6 linked regions of the Rattus norvegicus genome follow. The protein of the gene in region 4 purifies or fractionates together with the protein of the main gene of each other region. This does not show direct contact. Links are inferred from orthologs where the notes say so. Each region holds a gene or a part of one and is shown on either strand. Other genes may lie near its edges. The genes, in order: Nfe2l2, Dhx9, Atf7, Jun, Cop1 and Creb5.

The links.
Region 1: the proteins of Jun (region 4) and Nfe2l2 purify together in Homo sapiens (affinity purification with western blotting; 4 studies listed by BioGRID and IntAct, with this or other methods). This does not show direct contact. The link is inferred for Rattus norvegicus from reciprocal best matches to the Homo sapiens genes JUN and NFE2L2.
Region 2: the proteins of Jun (region 4) and Dhx9 purify together in Homo sapiens (affinity purification with mass spectrometry; 3 studies listed by BioGRID and IntAct, with this or other methods). This does not show direct contact. The link is inferred for Rattus norvegicus from reciprocal best matches to the Homo sapiens genes JUN and DHX9.
Region 3: the proteins of Jun (region 4) and Atf7 purify together in Homo sapiens (affinity purification with mass spectrometry; 3 studies listed by BioGRID and IntAct, with this or other methods). This does not show direct contact. The link is inferred for Rattus norvegicus from reciprocal best matches to the Homo sapiens genes JUN and ATF7.
Region 5: the proteins of Jun (region 4) and Cop1 purify together in Homo sapiens (affinity purification with western blotting; 9 studies listed by BioGRID and IntAct, counting the BioPlex papers as one, with this or other methods). This does not show direct contact. The link is inferred for Rattus norvegicus from reciprocal best matches to the Homo sapiens genes JUN and COP1.
Region 6: the proteins of Jun (region 4) and Creb5 purify together in Homo sapiens (affinity purification with mass spectrometry; 5 studies listed by BioGRID and IntAct, counting the BioPlex papers as one, with this or other methods). This does not show direct contact. The link is inferred for Rattus norvegicus from reciprocal best matches to the Homo sapiens genes JUN and CREB5.

What each region holds. Positions count from the first base shown.
Region 1 is NC_086021.1:81,000,338-81,005,474, forward strand, and holds the end of Nfe2l2 (nuclear factor erythroid 2-related factor 2), read right to left. Parts: intron 4,944-5,137; coding exon 4,677-4,943; intron 4,048-4,676; coding exon 3,958-4,047; intron 3,396-3,957; coding exon 3,207-3,395; intron 2,866-3,206; coding exon 1,642-2,865; 3' UTR 1,192-1,641; downstream 1-1,191.
Region 2 is NC_086031.1:68,168,619-68,173,284, reverse strand, and holds part of Dhx9 (ATP-dependent RNA helicase A), read left to right. Parts: intron 1-38; coding exon 39-175; intron 176-525; coding exon 526-615; intron 616-707; coding exon 708-869; intron 870-970; coding exon 971-1,048; intron 1,049-1,473; coding exon 1,474-1,665; intron 1,666-3,664; coding exon 3,665-3,806; intron 3,807-4,207; coding exon 4,208-4,290; intron 4,291-4,666. UniProt on the Homo sapiens protein: Multifunctional ATP-dependent nucleic acid helicase that unwinds DNA and RNA in a 3' to 5' direction and that plays important roles in many processes, such as DNA replication, transcriptional activation, post-transcriptional RNA regulation, mRNA translation and RNA-mediated gene silencing.
Region 3 is NC_086025.1:135,545,154-135,549,819, forward strand, and holds part of Atf7 (cyclic AMP-dependent transcription factor ATF-7), read right to left. Parts: intron 1,845-4,666; coding exon 1,736-1,844; intron 1-1,735. UniProt on the Homo sapiens protein: Stress-responsive chromatin regulator that plays a role in various biological processes including innate immunological memory, adipocyte differentiation or telomerase regulation.
Region 4 is NC_086023.1:115,009,368-115,014,566, reverse strand, and holds Jun (transcription factor Jun), read left to right. Parts: upstream 1-1,573; 5' UTR 1,574-2,431; coding exon 2,432-3,436; 3' UTR 3,437-4,667; downstream 4,668-5,199. UniProt on the Homo sapiens protein: Transcription factor that recognizes and binds to the AP-1 consensus motif 5'-TGA[GC]TCA-3'.
Region 5 is NC_086031.1:74,066,134-74,070,799, reverse strand, and holds part of Cop1 (E3 ubiquitin-protein ligase COP1), read right to left. Parts: intron 2,977-4,666; coding exon 2,859-2,976; intron 828-2,858; coding exon 703-827; intron 1-702. UniProt on the Homo sapiens protein: E3 ubiquitin-protein ligase that mediates ubiquitination and subsequent proteasomal degradation of target proteins.
Region 6 is NC_086022.1:83,722,313-83,727,499, reverse strand, and holds the start of Creb5 (cyclic AMP-responsive element-binding protein 5), read right to left. Parts: upstream 3,276-5,187; 5' UTR 3,217-3,275; intron 3,160-3,216; exon of another isoform or gene 3,061-3,159; 5' UTR 3,022-3,060; coding exon 2,860-3,021; exon of another isoform or gene 75-2,859; coding exon of another isoform or gene 72-74; intron 1-71. UniProt on the Homo sapiens protein: Binds to the cAMP response element and activates transcription.

The sequences.
Region 1 (5,137 bases), on a different chromosome or scaffold from region 4:
CAACCTATCCACATATGTGAGCCAGTTTTTCCACTTTAGAAATGGTGGGGCACACCTTTAATCCCAGCTTTAGGAGGTGGAGGCAGGCAGATCTTACGCCAGTCTTCTGGGTGATTTCTAGGACAGCCAGGGCTAGAGAGAAAACCTGCCTTGAAACCAAGAGAGTGGGTTGGGAAGAGAATATATATACGTACACCACATAACTGGCCTCTCTCGTCCCACCCCTCACCACCTACACTGCTCAGCTTCAGAACCAGAGGGTAAGTCTCATATCCCACCTCAGCCTTAGCTCCTCCTCTCTAGAACTGCCCACTCCTTCTATGCTGCTTACAGCTCTTCTTCCCACCACTTCCAGCCACTGTGCCTTCTGCTCAGCCGTGGTCTGTGGAGTTGCTGTTAGCATGCGATGCTCTGAGAGCGGTCTGACCTCTGCCTTCAGATGTTGCAAGCTCCTGGAAGTTGTGATGCTTTTTACATTTGTTTGGATTTTTGACACAGGGTCTCTTTCTACATAGCTTTGGCTGTCCTGGAACTCTTTGTAGACCAGGCTGGGCACAAACTCACAGATTTGCCAGTCTCTGCGGCAGAGTTCAAAGCCAGCCTTGTCTAGAGTTCAGCTATTGAAGGTGGAAGCATTATGCCCAGCTTTCTTTTTCCTTCCTAGCCCTCTTAGAGAATGCCGCTTCAGAGAGCACAGGGAGATTATTGGTTTTGTTCTTTGTGCCACAGTACTGCACAGCAGGCATAACATTGTGAATAAACATTTTCGTTGTGACATGTACCATTTCCTTGGTACGACAATCCTAGGAACATTTAGTATGAAAAGGGTTTTGGTCTTTTTTGAGACAGGCTCTCATTATGTAGCCTTGGCTGTCTTGGAGCACAGAGATCTGCCTGCTTCTGCCTCCTGAATGTTGAGAATAAAAAGCATCTACTGCCATACATGGGTATAAAGTGCTTGTGTATTTTCCTTTTTCTTTTTTCTTTCTTTTTTTTTGGGGGGGGGGAGGGGAGCTGGGGACTGAACCCAGGGCCTTGTGTTTGCTAGGCAAGCGCTCTACCACTGAGTTAAATCCCCAACCCGCTTGTGTATTTTCAAAACCATTCTGAAAATGTAAAATAAGCAAATGTGGTAGGTGGATAACTGTCCTATGGAAAACACTACTGGGAATTAACTCAAACAATCCAGAGTAATTTAAGTCATGATATTCCTTTATTAGTGCTAGCTCCTTTTAATTTTTATCAGAGCTAAACAATTTAATATAAAAATGTCATTTCTTGTTCATACAGTATATAAAAAAGTATAGTGGTTTGGTTAGTTTTCAATAGTTTGCTTTTAGCCAGATGTCATATAAGTCTATGACTGTAACAAATGAGAACAGTATAAATAAGTTCTGTAGTATTTACACTTACACAGAAACTAGCCCAAATGGTGCCCAAGAAATTAACTTGAGAGTTAAAATGAAACTGATTCAACATTGAGACTTTAATGCTTTGTAAAGTTTCATATTATTTCTACACTAGCTTTGGCTATAATTCTGCATAGTTACTTATAAAGTGTTTCTGCATTTCACATCACAGTAGGAAGTTTTAGCCGTACAAAACAAACACTAGCTCAGAAAAGGCTCCATCCTCCCGAACCTAGTTTTTCTTTGTATCTGGCTTCTTGCTCTTGGGAACAAGGAACACGTTGCCATCTCTGGTCTGCTGCAGAGAGTACTCACTGGGAGAGTAAGGTTTCCCATCCTCATCACGTAACATGCTGAAGACTTCCAGATACAAAGTGCTGAGTTTTCTTTTCAGAAGATGGAGGTTTCTGTCGTTTTCTCCCTTTTCTCTGAGTAGTTTTTCTCTCTCGTCTTTTAAGTGGCCCAAGTCTTGCTCCAGCTCTACAATGTTTTCCAGCTTCCTTTTCCTACAGTTCTGAGCGGCAACTTTATTCTTCCCTCTCCTGCGTATATCTCGAATTAATGCAAGCTGAGCTTCGTTGAATTGCTCCTTGGACATCATTTCATTGAAGTCATCAACAGGGAGATTAATGATTTTTTCAACAGGGAATGGAATATGGAGAGCTTTTGCCCTAAGCTCATCTCTTGTGAGATGAGCCTCTAATCGGCTTGAATGTTTGTCTTTTGTGAATGGGACTTTTTGATGACCAGGACTCACAGGTACTTCTTTTTTTGTTGTATTTTCACACTGGGATTCGTGCACAGCAGCACTGTGCCCTTGAGCTGGCGACAGAGGCTGTACTGTATCCCCAGAAGAATGTGTTGGCTGTGCTTTAGGTCCATTCTGTTTGACACTTCCAGGGGCACTGTCTAGCTCTTCCATTTCCGAGTCACTGAACCCAGGCGGTGGGTCTCCGTAAATGGAAGACTCCACAGAGTGCTCTGGGGATGCTCGGCTGGGACTTGTGTTCAGCGAAATGCCGGAGTCAGAGTCATTGAACTCCACCGTGCCTTCAGTGTGCTTCTGGTTGAAAGCTTTACACAGGGACAGATCACAGCCCTCAATGGGCCCGCCCAGAAGTTCAGAGAGCGACTGACTAATGGCAGCAGAGGAAGGCATGCTGCCACCGCCACTGGGCTCTGCTAGGAAAGCAGAGTAAAATTCATCACCGAAATCTGTGTTCAAGGTGGGATTTGAGTCTAAGGAGTTCAGCTGGCTGGCATCATCCGTGGAGAGGATGCTACTAAAAGAATCCTCAAAACCATGAAGGAAATGTGGACTACAGCTGTCCACTTCTTTTTCCAGTGAGGGGATCGATGAGTAAAAATGGTAATTGCTGTCCATCTCTGTCAGTGTGGCCTCTGGGCTGGGGACAGTGGTAGTCTCAGCCTGCTGCTTGTTTTCCGTATTAAGACACTAGAAAAGAAGGTCACATTGAATGCTTTAGATCAGTTCCCCACTCCCAAATCCAAGGTCTTCTTTTCAATAATCCCGATAACTCCCATTTTCAACAGATAAGTATTTTATGGTTGTCAGAACTCTAAATTAGCTTTCAGTCTTAGAGTGAATTTGTCCTGAAATATTCAGTCTGATTAATTAAAAACTCTGTGTGTTAAGTGAGTTTGGGAAGCTCTCCTAAGTAATATAAATGCACCATCAGTTTCTTCCTTTGAGTAGGTAGCATGTCAATAATAAATAACCAGGATGACTAATTTAAAAGGCCCATAGAGGACAGCACACTCATCGAGCTCTCTCACCTGTAACTCGGGAATGGAAAATAGCTCCTGCCAAACTTGCTCCATGTCCTGCTGTATGCTGCTTAAATCAGTCATGGCCGTCTCCAGAGAGCTATCGAGTGACTGAGCCTGATCAGGGGTGGTGAAGACTGAGCTCTCAACGTGGCTGGGAATATCCAGGGCAAGCGACTGAAATGTAGGTGAAGAAACCTAAGATTGACAAGGTATTTACATGAGTGAGAGCAAAGACCTGTAGAACAGACAGCGGCAGGGGCTGCAGCTCTCAGGTTACTAATGGTTGCTTTTATAAAATGAAACATTTCTTCCCCCCCAATGTCTCCACATTTATCCACTATTATATCACTCCATGTGCTTAAAGGTAGACTTCAAAATGGATAAAAACATTCCTTACGACTTAATTTGTACCCATAATATTTAGCAAAGTGCTTCAAACAACAGATTAAGATTTTTAATCCAAGTACGGATTAATAGTTGCTCTTTACTAGACAAAATATTTTATATACCTATATCCATTTTTCCAGTTAAATTATTCTGATTCATGTTTCTAGCTATCCAGTAAAATGGACTTGTCGTTTAGTATTTAGCAGGTCTTATTTTTAAATGTTTTATAGATATCTGATACAGTTTATTTGATAATTTCTTTGATCAACTTTTTCCTTCTAAAATTTTCTTTTATTCTCTCAATTGGATACACATGAAAGGGACTAATTCCAGAAAAGACAGTTTTGCTATTAAGCAAACATTTTTATACCTCATGGTCATCTACAAATGGGAATGTCTCTGCCAAAAGCTGCATACAGTCTTCAAAGTACAAGGCATCTTGTTTGGGAATGTGGGCAACCTGGAGTAAGGGAAAGGCACAAAGGAACATCATTTGTTAAATGTTCTAAACCCAGGGGTCATGACTAGCATTAAGAGCTGTTCATAAAATAACCTATGAACTCATTTCAGAAATCAATTTGTTTTACAGATTCAAACCAGATCACTTGTGTTCAAATCATTAGTCCCTTTAATAAACTGTGCTAGGGGACCGAACCCAGGGCTCTGTGCTAGGCAATAAACTCCCTTCATTTTTGAGTGATCTAGGCAAATGATTTAACCCTTGTGAGCTTTAGTTGTTTATCAACATATAGCATGGGAATTGTACTTGACACAGCTACATCAGTTACTCATACAATTCAGGTCACGCCTGCCACAGCAGTGAACAATGCCCACTCCTCCTACCAACAGAACGTCTGCCATGGTCTCCTCCCTCCCAAGAGGATGATTCTGTAACTCACAAAGTATGCCCCATGATCTGTATTGTATCCTGATCATCGAAAGAATTCTCAAAGGAGCTCAGGTACTCAATTCATCGGGAAGCTAAGCTTGGGAACTTAATATCCTCACAAATGGCAGACCAAGAGCTCAAATCCGATGGTCTGCTTTCTCAGTCGAGTTTTCCTCAGACCCCACCAGAACCAAGTGTACCTGGGAGTAGCTGACAGATCCACTGGTGTCTGTCTGGATGTGCTGGGCTGGCTGAATTGGGAGGAATTCTCCGGTCTCTTCATCCAGTTGTAACTGAGCGAAAAAGGCCTTCTCCTGTTCCTTCTGGAGTTGCTCTTGTCTCTCCTTTTCGAGTTTTTTCTGTTTTTCCAGCTCATAATCCTTCTGTCGCTGACTAAAGTCAAACACTTCTCGACTTACCCCAAGATCTATGTCTTGCCTCCAAAGGATGTCAATCAAATCCATGTCCTATGTTTAAAACAGAAAAGGAAGGAGAAACTACGGTTAAGGTGGTCCACATGGGTTCATTCACTACATGCCATCACGGATGGGGGAGATACAAACTAACTGAACGAGTACAGATGGAGGAAGCTAGAAGACTGTTAGTCCATTCACTCAACACATACTTGCTAAAGCAACAGCATATATATAGCTACCCATTC
Region 2 (4,666 bases), on a different chromosome or scaffold from region 4:
TCATTACACAGCTCATTTGTCTTTGGTAATCTTTATAGGGATTTTTGCACGTGAACATGGATCAAATAAGAAATTAGCAGCACAGTCATGTGCCCTCTCACTAGTCCGACAACTCTATCATCTTGGAGTGATTGAAGCTTACTCTGGTCTTACAAAGAAGAAAGAAGGAGAGAGAGTAAGTTCTTAGGTATAACCATAGTATTTAGATGAGGGGCATTATAGTGGGGATAAAGATTAGGGCTTTTAAATGCCAGACAAACAATGTTTTACTTCTGAGCTATATTCTAAGCTCAATACTTAGTAATGAAGAAATTAAAATAATTATACTAATCAATACTTTATGAAGAACTTATGTTTATAGGGGCCATTGAGTGAGTCATTGGTGAAATTCTGACTTAGAGAGTTGTTGGTTTCTGGCAATCAATAATAGCCCTAATGTCAGCTATATGTTAGTTTAGGTGAAATTAGTAGTTTTAAATTATATTCATGGGTATATTCATGATTTTCTTTGCTCCTTCTTTGTAGGTGGAGCCTTACAAAGTTTTCCTTTCCCCAGATTTGGAGCTTCAGTTGCAAAATGTGGTTCAAGAGCTAGATCTGGAAATTGTTCCCCCAGTAAGCATGTAGCTTTGCAGTTTACCTTGTTTTTAAAGTCTTTCCTTAGGATCATGTCTTTTTATTTATTTTTGCTTTTTATTTTTAAATAGCCTGTTGATCCTTCTATGCCAGTTATACTCAACATTGGGAAATTGGCTCATTTTGAACCATCTCAGAGGCAAAATGCAGTGGGAGTGGTTCCTTGGTCACCCCCACAGTCCAACTGGAATCCTTGGACAAGTAGCAACATTGATGAGGGGCCCCTTGCTTATGTAAGTACAATATGGGTTCTAAGATTAGTTCTATATTTTCCTTTGTATCTTTTTTTAGGTCAGAAGTGAATAGATTTTGTTTGAATGCTTTCTTTTTACAGGCTTCTACAGAACAAATAAGCATGGACCTTAAGAATGAATTAGCATACCAGATGGAACAGGATCATAATTTACAGAGTGTGAGTGTTGAAGATCTCTTACATATATTGTCTAGAGCTTAAATACATTGTTAGGTTGAATGGCAGGTTTTTATAATTGTTAATTATAGCTAACTATGATAGTGGCTATTAAATCAGGACCCCTGAATGATTGATAGTACTGTTATACAATATTAAATATATACTTTGAATATTTTATAGCAAATGTAAAGTGATAACATTTTTTGCAAGTAATTATAATACATTTTATTTTTTTGGAGACCTAAAATTTAAGGAGAAATTGAGGTATTAAGACCACAAGCTATATTCTTAAGAACATTGTAGTGGGAATAGATTTTATTAGATAAAAATGTTTTCATTCTTTGAAATATTTCAAGTCCTAAACCAGTTAGAAAGCAGTACTTTTTTATGGAAATGATTTAAATGACTTATCTTTGTTGAACCAGGTGTTACAAGAGAGAGAGTTGCTTCCTGTGAAGAAATTTGAAGCTGAAATTCTGGAAGCCATTAGTCAAAATTCAGTTGTGATTATCCGAGGGGCTACTGGTTGTGGTAAAACCACGCAAGTTCCACAATACATTTTGGATGACTTCATCCAGAATGACAGAGCAGCTGAGTGCAATATTGTTGTGACTCAGGTAAGTCATTGTATGAGTTTGTCTTGGGGTTTATAGAGTTCTGGCAATTGTTTGAGATGTAGCCAAGTAAGCTTTCAAGAGTGTTAAACAGAAACACTGTTTTGCCTGAGTGTAGGTCTTTGTCTTTGGAGCTAGTATACTTAACTACTGAGCCCTAATTAGTTTGGTGTGTGTATGTGGTACCAGCATACATGCCAGCAAAATTCCATACATTTTAAATGAAATTTATCTTATTTTTAACTATGTGCCTCTCGGTGTGAGCATGCCAAGTATCTGTGAAGGGGCCTCACAGGTGTTGTGTTTTATAAAATGAAACCAGGGATATGTTTTGAAGGTGTAAGGTGTGGGTGAAAGGGGCGAGTTTGCAGGCCTATGTTGAGGCATCCCTTCCTCCTGAGGGACATAACAGTATAGTATAGAATTTATTTAAGGCATGAGGAGGGGAGTTGAGAGGTTAGTAGAGACAGAAAGGCAGAGAGAGAGAGAGAGAAAGTAGAGGAGTAGGGGCTGGCCCTGAGCTCTGGGCGGGAAATAGGGGGTGTGAGGAGAGTGGGGAGTAAGGGAAGGAAGCAAGAGAGTCAGAGCAGTGTAGGGATTCTTATTCAAGTAAGAGGATAATGAACCTTATTTTGTGTGCATTTACAAAGGGTATTTCTACATTAGTAGTATACATCATTGCTTTAATTGCTTTATTTTTAAAGTGCACAAATTTGTATTTAGCGGGAAACTTGTATGTAGGGCAGTGTTACTCTGCATTTAAGTATGAATGCAGCTTTAAGGTGTATTGTTAACTTAAAAGTGATAGCATGGAAAGAAAGCTATCTTTTCTTTATTTATTTTAGTCATATGAGTACACTATAGCTGTTTTCAGACACACGAGAAGAGAGCATTAAATACAATTACAGATGATTGCGAGCCACCATGTGGTTGCTGGGAATTGAACTCAGGACCTCTAGAAAAACCATCTCTCCAACCCAGAAAGCTATCATCTTAGTTAAGCCATTAAAACGGAATGTGGAAATTGGTTAGCAACATATGAGTTCATCCTAGGCTTAGACTATGTGGGTTTGCAGAAAGAACATTAGATAGCCAGACATGTTTTGCGTGTGTTAGCAAAAGTTAAGTCCAAGGATGAGAAAGAACAATTAATTTATAGTAAGATCACTGAATAACACTTTTCTGTATCAACACAGGAAGCAGAGTACATTAAGAAACTTATTAGATATTATGTACAAGGTTGACATCCTTGAGCATGCTTATTTATAGATCACTATTTATAAACACATTAAAAATGTTGGGCCAGAACATCTTAGGGGAAGGAATTGACTGTGAGAACTGTTATGATCGGAGTTTTAAATAGATTGTTAGAGGGGCTGATCAATCTTGTCTATGTAGTTATATTTTTAGCAGCATAATTTAAAGTCTCTTAACATTCTCAAGGTACATGTGGTTAAACCTATCATTTTGTTGACAACTAACTTTTTCAAAGATTTGTGTATGTGAGTCCTTGAAGAAGTAAAGTGAACCAATCATCTTTTGGTTCAAACTCGCTCTAAGTACAGCCATTTGTAAGAAAGAGTTCTTTGTAGGTTTGTGCCATTCCTCTTAATCATTTTTTTTTTTTTTCCTTTTCTGGAGCTGAGGACCGAACCCAGAGCCTTGCGATTGCTAGGCAAGTGCTCTACCACTGAGCTAAATCCCCAACCCCGCAATTGCTTACTCTTAAAATAAAGTGGTTATGTGTTTATATAGTTATATCTTCATTTATTAAAATTAAAATTTCAAACTTGATGAAAATCGTTTCTATCATTTCACTGTTCCTAAGCTACATGAAACCTGACTATATAATCAGACCCTTTTAGAAAACTGCTGTGTTCAGTTTGGTGATACAGCATTTGCCTAGCATGTTATGTAGGTTTTATCACCCATATCACATAGACACTATTAAACAAATAAAACTAATTTTGTAATTTCATACCATATTTGTGTTCTGTTTTAGCCCAGAAGGATCAGTGCAGTTGCGGTGGCTGAGCGAGTTGCTTATGAGAGAGGAGAAGAACCTGGAAAAAGCTGTGGCTACAGTGTCCGGTTTGAGTCTATACTTCCACGCCCTCATGCCAGTATAATGTTTTGTACTGTAGGTCAGTGGTGTATTTTCATTTGTAGTTTGTCAACTTTTTATAAAGAAAACAAAAAACTGTTGGTTGGTATTCATTTCAATTCAAGAGCTCTGGAAGTAGAGACAGGTTCAAGGCCAGCCTGATGTACAGTGTGGGTTCCTGAACAATCATAGCTATACAGAGAAACTGTCTCAAAAATAAACAAAACCCATGATATTTCTACTTGCATATTATCCAAGTAAGCCCTTTCCTGTACAATGCAAGGATTGTGTGAAAACAGAGTTAGTGTTTGCTTCATTGGCTGCTTTGAGATGACCACGAGGGCAAGAGCCACCAACCTGCAGCTAAATTTTTGGTTTGTTGCTTCTTTGATTCTGTAACAAAACTCTTATAATTGTTTTTTGTTTTTTTATTTTCCCAAGGTGTGCTACTAAGAAAACTAGAAGCAGGCATTCGAGGAATCAGTCATGTTATTGTAGATGAAATTCATGAAAGAGATATTAATGTAAGTAATCTCTGCATGACTTTTTCCCCTTTAACAGGAGAAATCAAATCCTTGCTTGCTTTTTTTTTTTTCCCCCAAGCTGGGGACTGAACCCAGGGCCTTGCGCTTGCTAGGCAAGCACTCTACCACTGAGCTAAATCCCTAACCCCAAATCCTTGCTTTCTTACTCTACTGGTAAATGCTAACTTAGAGAACCATCGTTTAATAGCTGAGTTAGTAATGATTTATGACTTGAGTAGCTGGAGGGATTTTAGTTTTTCTTTGTGATAACTTCTGTGATTTTTAGTATATGTGCTGCCGAAGCGAGCACAAATTCTGTGATTTTTAGCAAAATGGTGGTGGTTATTGATAGCTCATTTCAGATGCTAGTGATAAT
Region 3 (4,666 bases), on a different chromosome or scaffold from region 4:
GGTGTGGACCACCAAGCCTAACCCTTCTCTTCCTTCTCTTTTTGTTTGTACTTTTGAGACAAGGTTTCTCAGGATGGGCTTGAATTCATGAACCTCCTGTCTCAGTCTTCTGGGTGCAGGGATTGAATTCTTTTTTTTTTTTTGGTTCTTTTTTTTTTTTTTTCGGAGCTGGGGACCGAACCCAGGGCCTTGCACTTCCCAGGTAAGCGCTCTACCACTGAGCTAAATCCCCAGCCCGGGATTGAATTCTTATAGCACCATTTCCAGCTATATTGTTGTTGTTGTTGTTGTTGTTGTTGTTGTTGTTATTATTATTATTATAATAAGATTTATGCTGTGTTTGACTGTATATGCTTTTAATCCTAGCACTTTGGAGGCAGAGGCAAGCATATCTCTATGAGCCAAGGCCAGCCTGATCTACATATAGAGTTCCAGGGCAGCCAGAGCCACACGTACATCCATGAACCATGTACATGCTTGGTGCCTGAGATGGCCAGAAGAGGATCTCAGACACCTAGAACTGCAGTTATAGATAGTTATGGGTGCTGGAAACTGAATGCAGGTCTTCTGCAAGAGCAGTAAATGCCCTGATCCCCTGAGCAATCTCTCCATACCCCAGCTGCATCATCTTCTTTTTTTACATTTACCACAAACCACATATCTCGCCTTTTTAAAAAATCTGTCTTACAAACTAAAATACAAGATCTTCAGGGACGCAGATCTAACCTAACTTGTTTGGTTCCTGTGACACCCAGGATGTGCCTGGCACAGAACAACAATTCGGTCAGTACTTACTTAACAAATCAACACACCTGGAAGTACACATTAACATTTAAATAAATAATTTAATAAAGATTCTTAATTTTTTTCTCAGAATCTCTGAGAAATATTTTACATCTCTGAAATGATAAAGGCAACTAGTGAAAAAATTATTTGCTATATTCAGTATTTCTATGTATTTATTTAATATGTAAAGGAAAACTAGCAATTATTAGTTTTAATTATCTATAACAAATTTTTCATTGTCATATATATTTTGTAACACTATTAATGCTGAGCACAATTTTGTAGAAATCTCTAATTACAAATTGAAACCAAGACTGGGCTATCATTGGAAAGATGAAATCTTCCCTCAAGTCCCAACTTTTCAGTTTCTAAGCAGCATCATTTGCTGCTGTTCATCTGCTCTCTAGGCCAAGACAGTCTTTGGGATTAAAAGACCTCTACCACTTTCCTACTGTTTTTTTTTTTTTTTTTTTTTTTTCCGGAGCTGGGGACCGAACCCAGGGCCTTGCGCTTCCTAGGCAAGCGCTCTACCACTGAGCTAAATCCCCAACCCCACTTTCCTACTGTTTGACTTGGATAAGTGATCTAATCTGAGTAGTTTTCTCACTTATAGATGGAATGGCTACTTCATGGGGGAACTGTGAAAACAGTATAGCACTTAAATAAAACATTCAAGAAATACTGCATGCTACTCCTTCTCTCCAGTGGTTATAGGTAACTCTGCACTACTGTCAAAGCTTTATTTTTTTATTTGAAAGAAAGTTTCATGCAGCTCAGGCTTGCCTCAAACTTTGGCTATAATTGAAGACCTTGAACTACTGATCCTCTTGCTTACTAGGATTACAGATTTAAAAAAAAAATATATATATACATATATATTTTAAGCTAAGATACTCAGTACCTGTGATTTACCAACTGACTGATTTTGCTTAGGTTATGAATCACTCACCTAGGTAGCCTTGAGTCTTTTTCTGTAGTGCAGTGACTGGGCAGTCTTTATGAGCTAACAGTAGCTGTTTCAACTGAGCCACCTCATTGCGTAGTAATGTGACTTCATTCTAAAGAGAGAGAGAAGTAAAGAGTATTAGGAAAATTCACTAAAATAAAAAAGCAATTGGGGTGTGGTGGTGCATGCCTTTAATTCTAACTGGTCCACAAACCAAGTTCCAGGACAACTAGGGCTGTTACAGAGAGAAATAAACCCTTGTCTTGAAAAACCAAAACCAAAAACTCATCTTTTATTCTTGGACTACTAATGGCTGTTGGTTATATCAAACTTATTAGAATTTTTTCTGCTATCTATAGCAAACCATTTATTGTAATATTAACTTTAGAATTGTCCTAATGTTGAGCACAGACAGAATGCTGTCTAGATTTTCCTCCCCAAATTAGGACATGATCTGGCAAGTCTTCTTAGGGCCAGGACAGTCATGAAGTCAATGACAGAAACTGCCTACAGTGAAAAGTACAGACTTATAACACGAAAAGAGAAATGACTGTTACCTGGGATAAATCTGATTATTCTGAAACTAACAATGTGAGGGCCTCTGACTAAGAAGAAAGTGTGCTTCTAGAAATCTGTTTTTGTTGTTCATTTCTTTTGACAATGTCTCGCTCTATAACCCTGGCTGACCTGGAGTTCCCGTCATAGACCAGGAACTCACAGAGAGCCTTTGCCTCCCAAGTGCTGGGATCATAGGACTGAAACACTATGCTTTTTTTTCTTTTTTTTTTTGAATTACCAAGCTTGGTCTCAGAAATCTTTTTTAATAGAACCACTTAATCAAGTGTGTGCAATGTCTTCTACAGCACTACTGTTCTAATGAACAATTACAACAGTGTTAGTGTCCACTGATCTAAAGAACCTAACACACTCAGAACGTAGAAATATACAGTAGTTTAAAAGAACAAGGTAGATCCTTCATCTCCTTCATTAGGCTTCCATGAGATACTGTTAAATCATTCATGTTTAAGCCAACTCAATCCCTCCAATTCTAACACAAAAACTAGAAATAAAAACTATTCAGAAATATGAGTCTGGCGGTTTGTACCCCATTTATCTACAGGGAAGATTATGGACTGTTACTGGGAAGGTGATGGGACTGTTCCTGGGAAAGTGATGGGACTGTTCCTGGGAAGGTGTTGGGACTGTTTTTTTTTTTTTCTTTTCTTTTCTTTTCTTTTTTTTCGGAGCTGGGGACCGAACCCAGGGCCTTAAGCGCTCTACCACTGAGCTAAATCCCCCACCCCGTAATGGGACTGTTACTGGGAAGGTAATGGACTGTTACTGGGAAGGTAATGGGACTGTTACTGGGAAGGTAAATTAAGGAACTTTGTTCTCACCCTATATGTGAGTTTGAGAGGAAAGAAATTTATTCATCTAGTACCTTTGTAATGAAATATTTAATAATTAGAAAAGTGAAGTTGCCATGAATGTGAACAAGATATACTATATACAGGTATGAAATTGTCAAAAATTGAAAAAAACAAATTTATTTTGTGTGTGTGCACATGTGCATATCACAGTGTGTGTGTGTGTGTGTGTGTGTGTGTGTGTGTGTGTGTGTGTGTGTGTGTGTGTGTATAAATCAAAGGACAAGTTGTGGGATCTGAAAATTAAATTCAGGTCATCAGTTTTAGTGGTAAGCATTTTGCCACTGAGCCATCAGTGCTGATCCCTTTTAAAATATACTTTATTTATTGTGTGTATATTATATATCATGTGCATATGTATGTACGTGGGTGGGACATACATGCCACACTGTGCATGTTTAGAGGTCAAAGGACAACTTCTCTCCTTCCACCTTGTGGATTCCAAGGGTAGAACTCAGGTTGTCAGGCTTGATGGCAGGTGACTTTACCTACTGAATCTTCTTACTGACACATAAATACTTCCAAGACAAAACAGAGTAAGGGAAAATAATATTCACAAGAAAGAACGCATGGATTTTAATTGTTCTGTTTGTGCTTATGGTTTTTTTTTTCTCTCCCTTTTTTCTTTCTTTAACCTACTTTGGTGTTTGAATAAAAATGGCCTCCATAGGCTCATAGGGCACTATTAAAAGGTGTGGCCTTGTTAGAGTAGGAATGGCTTTGTTGGAGGAAGTGTGTCCCTGAGGGCAGGTTTTGAGGTTTCAGAAGCTCAAGCCAGGTCTGGTGGCTCACAGTCTTCTTCTGCTGCCTGCCTATCCAGATGCAGAACTCTCAGTTCCTTCTCCAGAATCTGCCTGTGTGCGTCCTTATTTTCCACCATGATGATAATGGACTAAACCTCTGAAACCTGTAAGCTAGCCCTAGTTAAATGTTTTTCTTTATAAAAGTTGCTATAGTCTTTTTTTTTTTTTTTTTTTTGGTTCTTTTTTTCGGAGCTGGGGACCAAACCCAGGGCCTTGCGCTTCCTAGGCAAGCGCTCTACCACTGAGCTAAATCCCAAACCCCCAAGTTGCTATAGTCTTAATCCCAGCACTTAGAGGGCAGAGGTAGGCAGGTCTCTGTAAGTTCAAGGCCAATCTTGTCTACAGAATAAATTCCAGGGCAGCCAGGGCTATACAATGAAACCCTGTTTCAAAAACCAAAAGGCAAAAAAAGTGTTGCTGTGGTCATATTGTCTCTTCTGTTAACAGCAATAGAAACCCTAACTAAGACACGTACAATAGCTAGAGTAAATTTTTTAAATTTAATTTTGTATTTTATGTTCATTGGTGTTTTGCCTTCATGTATGTCTGTGTGAGGTGTCAGATTTTGGAGTTACAGACAGTTGTGAGCTGCCATGTGGGTGCTGGGAACTGAACCCAGGCCCTCTGGAAGAACATTTAGTACTCTTAACCGCTGAGCCATCTCTCTAGCCCAAGTAAACACATTTTTCATTAGGTGTTCTCTA
Region 4 (5,199 bases):
CCAGTATCCTCCAAATCGTCCCACCCTCACCCCACCCCACCGAAGGCCTGGGGTAACTCCGAAGCTGGTAGGGAAAGGGGCACCAATTGACCACCTTCTAGTCTCAGAGTCAAGACTAATGCCTAGCAGCCCGATGTAGTGGATGGACCTCATCCACTCTACTTCTAGATGAGACCAATAAAGTTCAGAAAGTTCTGAGATTTGCACTTTTGCCCTGGGAGAACCAAGCTCGCCACCTCTTTAGTCAGTCTTAAGGGGTAGAGGGTGGAGGGCGGATAGCAGAACCTTAGAAAAGAAACAACTTACATGTGTCTAGCGCTTCCTAGAGGCCGCACAGGATATGAATCCACCATCGAGCGGGGAGGGGATTTTTCAGTCTTTCTACCAGGGACTCCTGCTTAAGCACCGTGACTCGGGGCGAGTCCGCAGCTCTCAAGGCTTGTTTTCCCAGAAGCAAATCAGGGAGGGAGGAAGGGCGGGCGCGAACTGAGTGTGCGCGGGGCTGTGTGTATGTGCTAGTGCAGGCGAGCGCTGGGGTTTCCTGAGTTTCGAACCTTTATATGTTGCTTTCCATACCCCAAGGAGCCGGGGTGGCATCTTTCACACCTAGAAGGGGGTCCCTCCGAGGTAAAGCGAACCCCTCCCGGCACGTCCCCAGAAAATGAAGTGTTGTGCCGGGGACCCTGGTGAATTCATTCCGAGCACAGCAAATCTCTGGTTTCCAGCACAGCACACTGCGGCGCAGATCCTTCTCCGAAACTAAACTTCCATGCGCACTCGGCGTGGGAGGGCCACTCTCAAACCCGCTCAACTTCAACCCACTTGCCGCTCCCGCACCCGGGGCGAACACAACCATATTAACCCGCGTCGCTCTGTCTCCCGGAAGTGCGGGGGTGCGGAGCCAGCTTCAATCGCCCAGATCATTCAGCCCTTTCACGGGTGTGTTCGTGTGTTCGTGTGTGTGTGTGTGTGTGTGTGTGTGTGTGTGTGTGTGTGTGTGTGTGTGTGTGTAACCTCTACTCCCACCCAAGCCCTCCGCCCCAGGCCACCAGCGCGTCTCCCCAGCTTTCTGGATCCCCGCGTCTCGGTCTGGGTCCCCAGCCCTGAACTTGAGCCCGCCTCCGACAGACTCCGCAAGGGTCCAGCGGACCCGGCAGCCTCCGTCACTAGACAGCCAAACCAAGACGTCAGCCCACAATGCACCGGGCGGGCCGGGAAAGACGCGCCGGGGAGGGAACCCGGGAACACAAGCCGGAGCAACGCGCGGGAGGGGGAGGGAGGTGGAGAAAGAAGGGCCCAACTGTAGGAGCGCAGCGGAGCATTACCTCATCCCGTGAGCCTTCGCGGGCCCAGAGAAGAATCTTCTAGGGTGAGGTCTCCATGGCGACGGGTGGGCCCGCCCCCTTGAGAGCGACGCAAGCCAATGGGAAGGCCTTGGGGTGACATCATGGGCTATTTTTAGGGATTGACTGGTAGCAGATAAGTGTTGAGCTCAGGCTGGATAAGGACTCAGAGTTGCACTGAGTGTGGCAGAGACTGCCTAGCTGGAGAGCGCTCAGGCAGACAGACAGACGGACGGACTCGGCTAACCTGGTCGTCCGCGGACTCCGGGCTGTTCATCTGTTTGTCTTCATTTTCTGACCAACTGCCTGGATCCAGCGCCCGCAGCTCCTGCACCGGTGTTTTGGGGAGCACTTGGAGAGTCCCTTCTCCCGCTTTTCCCGGAGAAGAAGCTCACAAGTCCCGGCACTGCTGACAGCATCGAGAACGGCTCCGGACCGCGCGAGGAAATAGGCGAGCGGCTACCGGCCAGCAACTTTCCTGACCCAGAGGACCGGGAACAAGTGGCCCGGAGCGAACTTTTGCAAAACCTCTTCTGCGCCTAAGGCTGCCACCGAGACCGTAAAGAAAAGGGAGAAGAGGAACCTATACTCATACCAGCTCGCACAGGCGGCTGAAGTTGGGCGAGTGCTAGCCGCGGCTGCCTAGCGTCCCCCTCCCCCTCACAGCGGAGGAGGGGACAGTTGTCGGAGGCCGGGCGGCAGAGCCCGATCGCGGGCTTCCACCAAGAATTCCGTGACGACTGGTCTGCGCCGCCGGAGAACCTCTGTCGCTGGGGCTGGTCCGCGGGCTCCGAGGAACCGCTGCTTCCCGAGAGCGCTCCGTGAGTGACCGCGACTTTTCAAAGCTCCGGATCGCGCGGGAGCCAACCAACGTGAGTGCAAGCGGTGTCTTAACCCTGCGCTCCCTGGAGCGAACTGGGGAGGAGGGCGCAGGGGGGAGCACTGCGGTCTGGAGCGCACGCTCCTAAACAAACTTTGTTACTGAAGCGGGGACGCGCGGGTATCCCCCGCTTCCCGGCGCGCTGTTGCGGCCCCGAAACTTCTGCGCACAGCCCAGGCTAACCCCGCGTGAAGTGACCGACTGTTCTATGACTGCAAAGATGGAAACGACCTTCTACGACGATGCCCTCAACGCCTCGTTCCTCCAGTCCGAGAGTGGCGCCTACGGCTACAGTAACCCTAAGATTCTGAAGCAGAGCATGACCTTGAACCTGGCCGACCCGGTGGGCAATCTGAAGCCGCACCTCCGAGCCAAGAACTCGGACCTTCTCACGTCGCCCGACGTCGGGCTGCTCAAGCTGGCGTCGCCGGAGCTGGAGCGCCTGATCATCCAGTCCAGCAATGGGCACATCACCACTACACCGACCCCCACTCAGTTCTTGTGCCCCAAGAACGTGACCGACGAGCAGGAGGGCTTCGCCGAAGGCTTCGTGCGCGCCCTAGCTGAACTGCATAGCCAGAATACGCTGCCCAGTGTCACCTCCGCGGCACAACCTGTCAGTGGGGCGGGCATGGTCGCTCCCGCTGTGGCCTCAGTAGCTGGCGCTGGCGGCGGCGGCGGCTACAGCGCCAGCCTGCACAGTGAGCCTCCGGTCTACGCCAACCTCAGCAACTTCAACCCGGGTGCGCTGAGCAGCGGCGGTGGGGCGCCCTCCTATGGCGCGACCGGGCTGGCCTTTCCATCGCAGCCCCAGCAGCAGCAGCAGCCGCCTCAGCCGCCGCACCACTTGCCCCAACAGATCCCGGTGCAGCACCCGCGGCTGCAGGCGCTGAAGGAAGAGCCGCAGACGGTGCCGGAGATGCCGGGAGAGACGCCGCCCTTGTCCCCCATCGACATGGAGTCTCAGGAGCGGATCAAGGCGGAGAGGAAGCGCATGAGGAACCGCATCGCTGCCTCCAAGTGCCGGAAAAGGAAGCTGGAGCGGATCGCCCGGCTAGAGGAAAAAGTGAAAACCTTGAAAGCGCAAAACTCCGAGCTGGCGTCCACGGCCAACATGCTCAGGGAACAGGTGGCACAGCTTAAACAGAAAGTCATGAACCACGTTAACAGTGGGTGCCAACTCATGCTAACGCAGCAGTTGCAAACGTTTTGAGGACAGACTGTCAGGGCTGAGGGGCAGTGGAAGAAAAAAATAACAGAGATAAACTTGAGAACTTGACTGGTTGCGACAGAGAAAAAAAAGTGTCCGAGTACTGAAGCCAAGGGTACACAAGATGGACTGGGTTGCGACCTGACGGCGCCCCCAGTGTGCTGGAGTGGGAAGGACGTGGCGCGCCTGGCTTTGGCGAGGAGCCAGAGAGCAGCGGCCTGTTGGCCGCCACGCTTTGCGAACGGGCTGTGCCCGCGCGACCAGAACGATGGACTTTTCGTTAACATTGACCAAGAACTGCATGGACCTAACATTCGATCTCATTCAGTATTAAGGGGGGTGGGTGGGGGCTTACAAACTGCAATAGAGACTGTAGATTGCTTCTGTAGTGCTCCGTAAGAACACAAAGCAGGGAGGGCTGGGAAGGGGAGGGAGGCTTGTGAGTACCAGGCTAGATTGCGGATGAACTCCCCTGGCCTGCCTCTCTCAACTATGTATGTACATATATTTTTTTTTAATTTGATGAAAGCTGATTACTGTCTATAATAAACAGCTTCCTGCCTTTGTAAGTTATTCCATGTTTGTTTGTTTGGGTGTCCTACCCAGTGTTTGTAAATAAGAGATTTGAAGCATTCTGAGTTTACCATTTGTAATAAAGTATATAATTTTTTTATGTTTTGTTTCTGAAAATTTTCAGAAAGGATATTTAAGAAAACACAATAAACCATTGAGAAGTAGCCCCCAACCTCTCTGCTGCATTATCGATAGATAATGAGAGCTAGGTGAAATGACAGCTGAGTGTCTGTATGCTGGGGTGAGAGCCTGTAGTCCCTCCCGTCTGGTTGTAGGAATAGACACCCTGCATGCTATCATTGGCTCATACTCTCTCTCTCCCCAGCAACCCACAAGTCCAGACTGTTGACCAGAAGATGGTGCAGTGTTTCTTAAGGCTGGAAGAAGAGGGTGTTGCAAGGGGAGAGGGACAGCCCACTGGGAAAGCAGACGCTTGAGTTGAGAGCCATATCAAGTAGCATGCGCTGTGATCGTTTATAATAATAATAAAGACTTCAGCAATTAGATGTTTATCTCAAAGCAGGGACCCATGGAAGGTTTTACAAAAGGTGTCTCCTTCCAACTTGGATTCTGACGACTCCTAGAAAAAGATGACCTTTGCTTGTGCATATTTATAATAGTTCGTATCACAATAAATGTATTCAAATAATGGTTTTAAAAATCTTGAATTCCTTTTCCGTTGCTAATCTTTGTTTCCTAAGCCGCACACTGAAGATTTTCCAAGTTTCTGGGGGAATTAGTGCATTCTACACTTTGCAATTTAGAAGCCAAGCATTTAGGAAGAGTCAAAGGAGGATCTGGAACCTGGGTGACTCTTCTCCCAACCCTCTCCCAATTCCCACTTGGCACCCTCCCCATCCCCCCACCTCTCGCTCCTACCAAGGAAGTGACCAGTGTAGTGAGTCCTTATTTAATTTTTAATTTGTTTCAAAATAATCAATCTGGCTTAATTATTGAGGTAGTCTGGGAAGTTCCTAGTATATATACTATGGAGCGGAGTCACAAGAGAAATGACTATATAGCACATCTGTGATCCAAACCTCAGCTCCGGGGAGACAGAAAACCTGAATCGTGTCTCAGATACAGCTGAGGTTATCAACAGGTTTGTATTCAACGAGGGAATCATTTTTGCCTGCTCCCTTCTCATCCCCATGAGCTGCTGTGATTATCAAGCAGCAACAGCAATTTGATAT
Region 5 (4,666 bases), on a different chromosome or scaffold from region 4:
ATGAAGAGAGGAAGTGAAAGTTGTAGTACTTACGAATGCCAATTTGAATAGCCCAAGCCACTGCCTGTCTATTTCCCATCTAGCATTACCCTATCAGGTGAATAGTCAAACTGACACACTTCAGGGGCCTCCAAGGATAATTGTGCTGCAAATCTACTTTGGTGGTATTCAAGATCAAACATTGGAGAAAATACGATTTACAGAATAAGAATAAAGGCAACATCATTTAAAAGTGTTGACAAAAGTTCATTTACTCTATCAGAACAGTTGAATAACAGCAAATTGCATTTTTCCATTTCTGATTTAAATTTGCACAAATTCTATATATAAGAACTCATAAATTAGATTCATGCAACCCAAACAGATTACTAAATCAAAATAATACTAGATAGGGTAAAATGAGAATCAAGCATCTGAAAGATGTCTTCTTAAAATACTACTAGCAGAAATTATTATAGTTTCTATAGTTTCTAACATACCTACCGAAATTGTGGCATATTTAGAATGACAAGAGAGCAGTGAAAAATCCTTGGCAATACTATACTATGGATACATGGCTCATACATAGAAGGAAAACTAGTGCTCCCAGCATGACTGGAGAAGAAAAGAATGCAGTCCTAGACATCAAGGCTATGATGACTGCACTGAAAACTGCCATGACATGTCTTCACAAAGTTTGTTTAAAAGTACAAGTTCACTTACCACAAGCTATATAATCTCCATTGGAAGCAAGGCCTACAAAGTTTTTTTCATTAATATGACCCTTGAAGGAACGTAGACAGTATGGTTTCCCCACATTCCACAGTTTTAGTTGGCTGTCTGTTGAGCTGAGATAAACACAAAGAGGAGTAAAGTTTAGATTTCATGGTATGAAACTATCACCACTAGTAACTAAAAAAAGCAATCTAGTTTTGAGGTTCAATATGTAGTCTGTGGTACCTACATATCTAAGTCTTGCCCTCATTGGCTCCATTGTTAACAGTGAAATATGGTATGGCATTATCTACATAATTAAATGAGCTCAACACTGTGAAAACCGAACTCGTTTAACATGCTTTCAATAGGGCCTGGGTATACAGAAAGCAATCATCAATGTCATCAATACCACTGTCCCACCACCAATAAATAATGAGACTTTGCCCTGAGAGATGTGTTTCATTTCAGGGAGACCCTCAATCTTCTCATTGTGATTTATCTTTCAACTCTTACTGGTATACTAGACATAAATTATTTCTCCCCTACAGGTGAGAGGTATTGTTGGAAACTACACGATGCAGTTTATTTTGCTGTAAATATATATATATATATATATATATATATATATATATATATATATATAGTTGCTTACCCAAAACAACTTTTTATTTTTTTGCATAAAAAACACTGGTGATTCTAATAGACAAAGGTAATTTTAGGACTGGTACTATTTTGCAAACTGCTTTCCTATACTGAATTGCTTGCTTATACTTTTGTTAAGGGAGGGACTACATAATTCAGTTTTTTTAATTAAACTGATCGTCACTGAGCAGGAAATTATGATACACATTTTACCTACTTTATTACGTTAAAGGCTAAAAACCTTAGTGCTATGATTAGCCCCATTTTGGAGATGAGAAAACTGAGGTTCAGAAGTTTATAACTGAATACTACCAAGATCCAAACTGTTTGATTTAAGCATGTCAGGTCTTTTAGAAATGTGTTTTAGGGGCTGGACATCAGAGGTTAAAGAGCAGGTCCTGAGTTCAATTCCCAACAACCACATGGTGACTCACAGCCATCTGTAATGGAACCTGATGCCCTCTTCTGGTGTGAAGACAGCATAGTCATATGCATAAAGTCGATAAATAAATCTTTAAGAAAAAAATTAAGAGAAATGTGCTTTAATCTGCTTCATTCCAGTGTTGCAATAAATGTTCTTTTATGTTTCCACTTAAAATGTGCATCATTTTTAGGTTATTTTCTGCCTATTACAGTTATCTAAAGAGAAAATATACTTTAGCTACCATTTAATTTAAGCTTATTAATTAATTATCTGCATAACTTCCTTGGAAAGCTGTTATGAGTATTTTGTGTCCTCTTTTGTCTTGCCAAATCACCAAATTCTTAGAGCAACTGGTGTGAGGGTGAAAGTAGAAAGCAGAATTCAAGGCACTGGGATAAACAATCGTCTACGGGAGATAAAGAGGCAAGGAAAAAAATAAAGAATTTCACTGTAGAGTGAAATTACATATTGTTTTACTAGATTATGAGATGGATAACCAAAATATGGAGCTTCCCATATTGTCAGAAAAGTTCTGTAGTTTGACAATAGGTTACTTTACATCACTGACATTTAATACTTAAAAAAAAAAAAAGGAACTAAAAGGTTTTACAAGGGACATTTGCTGGATGTAAGCAGACACACTTAAAAAGATCTCTTTAATATAGATTTTACTTAGAAACTGGTTTAGGTTATTATAAAAAGCAAGAAGTCATTTAAAATCAACAATCATTCTACTACATTGAAAGTACATTTATGTAGTAACATATAGTTGACTTTAACCAAATAAATTATTTTTCTTTCTATTGCACCAAACATGTTGGTTAATTCTTCACAGGTAATAACAAAAATAAAATTTGAGGTTCAAATGTTAATTAAATTACACACATAACTTAAGAGAGCTTAACAAAGAGTAATACTTTATTTTATTCACAAATAATATAAAAATGAACAAAGCAAATAAGATACATGTACTTCAATAGAAACCACGCAAATCTATTGCTATCTGAGAAAGTAATCTGGGGAACTTCTCTGCATAAACTACAGCATCAATGAGCAAACCTCTGCATCACGCTCGCCCTCCAAGGAGAATACTCACGCAGAGACAATTTCTTCACCACTCACAAACTTGGCATAAGACACTGCTTTTCGGTGCCCCTTGAACACCATTATTGGCTGTTTAGTGTTACGAAGATCGTAGTAGTGGACACAGTGATCTAAAATAAAATTAAAAGATAAATGGAGCGCATGAAAAAAGGGAGATAAAACATTTTAACTAGATTAGGTATTTTCACCAGAGCAATGGGGTTGGCTGAATAAGGGAGATTATCTTCACAAAGAAACATTATTTGGAAGCATTGTTTATAAAAACTACCCTCAGAAGAGGAAAGGAATCCAGGAGAGATCACAGTATCTTGCTTTAATCCAAGAGAAGCAAGTACATTTAAAATACAAAGACAACAACAGAAAGGAGTAAGAGAAACCACTAAGGGTAGAGAGAAGAAAGAAGAACTAGCTGCAGGCGTAAAGCTTAGAGCCTAGTACCAGTACAGTACATGAAGATGCGATCCACCATCTTACATAGCCTCAAGTTCACCCCCCAAGCCAATGCTCACGCAATAAAGCTATGGGTGAAACTGCTCTGGTATCAGTGAGCTGCCTCTACCACCTCTCCCCTGAACCTGGGTAGCACAATGCTAAGCAGTGCCCTGATGCTAAAGAAAACCACATCAACAGGCCATTGAAACCCAGGGTCAGTTAGATCCTAAGAGCTTTTTTATCATGGAGAAAACTACATTCTGAACTCACCTTGGTGCTAGGGGGCGAAGAAAGCTGTGGCTAGAGTAAAAAGAATTTGTATTCTGGCCAGCATCACGCGAAGCTGGCTTAGGTGTCTAAGGCTCCGAGTATACCAATATCAGAGCAGCAAACAGGCCACATCACCATGGTCCTATGTCTAGTCTCTGTGTTGTGCCGGTTTTAACAGATTGTGTGCTCTAAGGATGACTCAGACAAAGATGTCTGTCACTGAACCCAATGGCTTGCAGAATATGGACAAAGCCATTATCACTAGAGATGAAAGGAAGTAATAGTCAAATTGCTATATAGGAACATGGGGTCTAGTTTGTCCATGATCATCGTAGAGGGAAAAAAATCAGTGTCTTCCAAGAGGCTTCCAAGAGTGATGAACCACACTTTCCAGGTACCCTAACTCTTGAATAGTATATATACAGGTTGGGGGTGGAAATCTCTATTTTGGGGGAATCTGTATAGTATTTAAATAGCACTCAGAAAAAAATAATACCTTATTTAAAATATCTGGAAGGATAAATACAATGCCAGATGATAAATCTTTAATCCTTTCATGCAAAGACACTATTGGGTGTGAATATACACCAAAACCATTCAAGGAATGATCATCTAACCAAAATGAATATAAGTTGTCAAAGAGAGATGACAAAGGGTTGGTAGGTATGAATATTCAGAGAGAGGGTCTTAAATAGCTGTGAGCAGGCAATTAAAGAACAAAACAATCAAATTAACAATAATACTTAAAGACATAAATACATTCTATCTATTGGAATGAGGGTTTTTATACCCTTAAAGCTAATCCTAACTTAAACTATAGAAAATTAAAGATATCCCATGCAAATGGAATTTTCAAAAAGAAACTAAACAGTAATTTAGTACTTACATAAGAGACTTAAAATCATATTATCAAAATGGGCAAGGTGGGTCACAATATAAAGGGGCTAAATTAGAGAAAGAGGAATAACTCTTAGCATGAAAGCACTCAATATTTGAGCATAGAAATAAATATGAAAAATATTAATAGGCCTGAGGAGAGATTTCAGTTTAGTAACAGAGGAATTTAAAAGCCGCTGCCACTAATATACAGACTGTCTG
Region 6 (5,187 bases), on a different chromosome or scaffold from region 4:
GTGACAGTATGAGACTGACCTGGACTGATGTGAGGGCTGTCTCTGCTTCACAAACATGAGCATGCTCTTACCATAGCTGGGAGTGTAAAACCGCACCGTGTTGCCTCCTGCCGTCTCCAGATCAGAAATTGCCCTCCTCTCTTGTAACTTCTTTTAACCAGCAAGATCAGAAAGGAAACACGTCTTTGAGTACTTGGCTCAGTCTTTCAGGCCAGAAGACTGTGGACCAGCTCTGAGCTAAAGAGAGAGGAGGCCTGGCACCTAGCAGTCACTCTGCAACTCAGACCTACCTCATAGACTCTGGTACCTTCTCCCCTCCCTCTGCAACTCAGACCTATCTCATAGACTCTGGTACCTTCTCCCCTCCCTCTGCAACTCAGACCTATCTCATAGACTCTGGTACCTTTTCCCCTCCCTCCTTCTTTAAGTTACTGTTAGTAATGAGACTAATTTTTCCAGTAGCCTTCAACTCCCTAGATTTAACTGACACGGAAAATGTGACTAAAAACTTGTAGAACCGTCTAGCCTCCAATCCTACACAGAATGAACTTTGTTGTGCTGAAGAACAACCTCCCTCGCAAGCAGCTACATGCTCAGCTTCTGCCCATGTGCTCTGCAGCACAGGACACCAAATAACAGTGCGCCATCTAGTTAGCAAAGCGCAGTCTCCAAGCCTGAAGGGGGGACACCTTCCAGCCCTGGGAGCTAAGCTTGTCAGGGTCCAGTCACTCTAAAGCTCCAATTGTTTGTTTAAATAAAAAAAATATCGCTACTGGGATAATCCACATCTCCTGGATATGGGAAAATCTAGGTTATAATGGCACTACAAACTTTTACATCTAACTTTGATTTACAAGATAAAAGCAAGTTTTAAATTAAAAGGGCTTTCTGTTAATAGAGCTTATTATTGTGAAGACAGGAATGATTGTCTTCGAAAGTTGTCCCTGGGTGCACGCCTATTATCTTTGCTTTTCCCCTTCCACTAATGAGCATTTATCTAAAGAGCCTGTTAATCCTCTGATGTGTGCTTCTGGTCAGAGGTAACAGTTTGAATAAAACCACTAATCACTGATCACTAAATCACTGATCATTAATCACACTCTCCAGGGCCTGGTGACCTGGCCATTTTCCCTTTAGGTTTCTGCATCACAAACAAGAATTTTAACATTTTCAATGCCTGTGCTTCGCATAGGGGGACTATACCATTTCATCGCTAGATGCCAGTAAATAATACTGCCACAAACTTGAGGAAGGGGTGTCAAGCAATCTCCAGTCACAAGCTCCACAAAGCCTGCTCTAGGGCCAGAGTATGTTGGAGAAAGTAGATCTAATTATAACCAAACACGTGTTCTTCAAGAATGCTGCCTATTTAGAATATAAAATTTCCTTTACTTAGCCTCCTCCGTGCCCAAATCAAAGAGCCTTCAAACACCTTATTCTCCAGTCAAAAGCTTCTGCCTGTGTTTGTTTTCACTTGATTTCAGCTATCATTATTCACTCACCCCAAAAGTTTTCACACTTTGTCCCCTAATCAAGTCGCATATAGTGGTGTTTTTGCTACTAGTGTTCTTTTAAAGAGCAAGTGGGGAAGAACTCAGTTCTGTAAATTGGGCGTTTAACTTCCTCTGCAAACATAGAAACGCAAGAATAAGAAACTACTGCGCGTAGCAGTAAGGTGTTATAAGGTACTTTCAGTTATCAGACGCGTCCCTGACTCTGGAAATTAAATGTCTAATATAGATCCTTTCCGCTAAACCTGACTTAGTCAAGTCCTTCATCCCTCTCCCAGGACTACGGAGTTCATCAACTCATCGGGCTCTGGGCTCTTAACTGTGGGCATATTGCTTTCCTAAGTCACGGCAGGCACACGCTATTAGCGTATAAGGCTTCTAAACCTTTCTAGGGGTTTTCTATCCAGACTGAGCATTCTCGCGTGGGAAAAGAGGGCCCGGATAGTCCCTTTCTTAAATAATAGGAAGGAGCGGATTGAGCGCTCATCAGGTACTGAGCTCGCTCAGGCACCAGAAGCTCTTCAGCTCACTCCTGGGACAGCATTCCCCCTAGGGGAAAACTGTAAACGGCGGGGGGCAGGCCAAGTGATAACGAGGTGGGCGGGAGAAGGATGGAGGAGGAGGGGTCGGGAAAGAGAGGGCAATAGCTGTGTCCAGGGAACCCGCAATTGCTCCGGGGAGGAGGGGAGCAGAGTTGCTTTGTCAGCATTCTGAGCCCCAGAACCCTTGAATATCTGAAGCCCTTAATCAAACACTTACTAGCCTGCAGAATGACGTAATGGACCTGTAGCCAGCCTTTATTCTTTGACACATGTCAGGAAGAGGGAAAAATAAAAAACCAAACAAGCTTTGCAGTCACTGACAACGATGTACAAGCAGCCCGCTCCAGTTCCCAGCTTTGAACCAGCATCAAGTGGGGACGGCACTCGTTCAGGGAAAGTTGGGGCTTTTTCTACTAGACACCCCTCTGGAAGTAAATCTCTAACTAATAAATAAATGAAAAACTAAAGCGGGCTATGGTCCCTCTAAAGTGGCGGAGTGGGGGCGGTGTCTGTCTCAACCCTTTAAGAACTTTGTGAAAAGTTTAAGCGGTTGATGGAGAAGCTGGCTCAAAGGCAGGCTCTGTCGCCCGGTACTGAGAACCGCCTGGGTGCAGTGCGGCTCGGGCCCCAGCTGTCATTTGGGGCGGCAGCCCGGAAGAAGTAAGAGTGCCAGCGCAAAGGGGACGGAGGCGGAAGGCGGCTCAGGAGTGAAGGCGAGGGCTCTGGAGCACTCTCAAGCTGGAGCGCCTGGAGCGAAAGTCAAGTCCCCTCCAAGGGCAGCTGTCCCTCCCGGGGCGCGCGCCCACCAGCTGCAGCCGGTAGCGGGTCTCGAGAGATGGCAGCGGCCGCTGGGCACCGGTGGGAGAGAGAGCCCCCTGCAAACTCGCCCGGCCGCCCCTAGGTGACCAGGCGTCTTGGCCGAAATGGTGGAAGTTTGCAAACTTTCTCCCGGGGTTCCGCTGCATCATTGAGAAACGGGATGTGAGGAGGCTCCTGGTTCCTGGTCTCTGTTGCTGCTGCTGCTACCACTGCCGCCTCCGCCGCCGCCGCCACCACCACCGCCGCTTGACCACACTTCTGGAGGGTTCCGCACCTTGCCATGGGCTCTGGAGGCAAACATACACCCCCGATTCATGACTGTTCCCCGTGTCAGGGAAACTCACGCGCGCTCCCAAACACGCACGCACACTGGGTCGGACACGGCGCTGGCTCCACTCAGCATCCCTCCAATCGCACGGCGCAGCAACCACCGAGACGCGCTCCGGGACGGACACGGCGTGGGGTCTCTGGGTGACTACAGGACACAGCACAACTCCACAGTCCACCAGCAATTGGGGCCGGGCTTCCCTCTGATCCGCCAAAGTGTTTATAAACACAAATCAAGAAAAAAAAATGCATCGCATCCTTTCTACTCCTTGCCCTGTGACCTGCCCATTGGACCAAGTAACCTCGCGGCTGCAGCGATGAACCAACCCCTGCAAACAAGGACGCTTCCGAGTCGGCTGGCGCGGCAAGTGCAGCGAAAGTGGCTAAATGCAAAAGCCCCAGAAGTAGCCGCGCCGTATTTTTAGGAACTTACCAAACAAGTGTGGAGAAGGCAAGAGCCGAGCCCGGGTGAAGGGACCACGTTGGACTGAGCAAAGATTACAATACATTCTATTTAGAGTGCATTACATCACCCCCCCGGTGACGTCACGTGGGATTCCTGAACTTCTAAATCATTGCGGTCCGTTGGGGAAGGAGGGAGAGAGGGGCGGGGCCCGCAGGCCGAGGGGGCGTGCCCGTCTCCGCCCCGCCCAGACCCCGCCCCTCGAGCGGACCCGGGTGCTTGCGGCAGCGGCGCCCGCGATCGCGCAAGCAACAGCTTGCACAGCCCAGCGCCGAGTAACACGGCTCCCCCGACATTAGTGGTGTGAGTCAGCTTGGAAACAATCCTGAAGGTTTCAAACAGAACCATGCAGGAGACAGGGGCACGAGCGCTCCTGCAAGGAGTGCCTGTAGGGTCAGAAAGAAGTAAGGTTTGGGGTGTGAGCAAGAGAGGTGGTTAGGACGTTGAAGGAGGTAAAGGGAGACCTTTGCACTTACAAATGCAGGACTCTGCCTACTTCCCTACATCAGCCCCCGAAGATACCCAGATCCGTTGCCTGCGACAGCCATGACCTCATTGCAGTGTTCTCTGCGTGCTGGCTTCTCAGCATTACGTCTACATTTCGCCGCCCCTCTCCTCATCACTCTCAAGGACATAACTTCTTGTGTACACTGAGTAGGACTACACACAGCACACAGCACACAGTCTTCCCTAGTCCCGCACCGTGCGTGTGCAGACCTGTGAAAGAATCTTTCTAAAGGGGAAAGGTGAATCTCAGCCAAGAGCCAAAGGATGAGCCGGATTTAGACTCCGCGTCAGCGCCGGAAGGGCCCTGGCCATTGCTTCTAGAGCCTCTGCTACTGGCCCAAGCTCACCGGCTGGGAAGCAGCCAGGGCTAGAATATGGGATATAGGGCCAGGTCTGCAGCGGGGAAAGAAGGACTGACCTTTTTCAGCATGGGCCAGACGCCACTGCTCTCACCTTCCTCACTCCTACCAAGGGCTAGGTTTTTGGGTTGGAAGCTCCCTTTGGGGAACATTGAAAGCCTGTTCAAAATGACCACTGTCATCCTGCAACAACTCACACTTTGCTAAACACTTGAAGTCACACCGTTTTCTTCTTCCTCATAAGACCTTGGCACGATGAGGAAAAGTGGGGACAGTGTTGTAATTACCCTGTTTCACAGCTGAGCTGAGGCAGACGCCAGAAGGCTAGGCGCTCTCGAGATCAGCAGGGAGAACACTGTAGCTCATGTCTAACCCCAGTGCCCACCTGGGTTCCTTGGTAGAGTCAAGGATGTTAATTCTCTTCTGGTGGCTGACTGGTTAGAACTAAGAACTTGCTAGCTGGAAGTTGGATCTTTGCTTAGGAACAGTTTAGCCCCCATTAACAAACAATAACGGTTCCTGACATTTATGTAACATCTGACATTTATATAGTGCCTCTCACCCCCATGCATCACAGCCGTGACTGTGCAGTCTGCCAGAGGATCGTGACTAGACTGGCTAGGAATCGTAATGCTTTGCCCAAACTGTCACATTTCCGA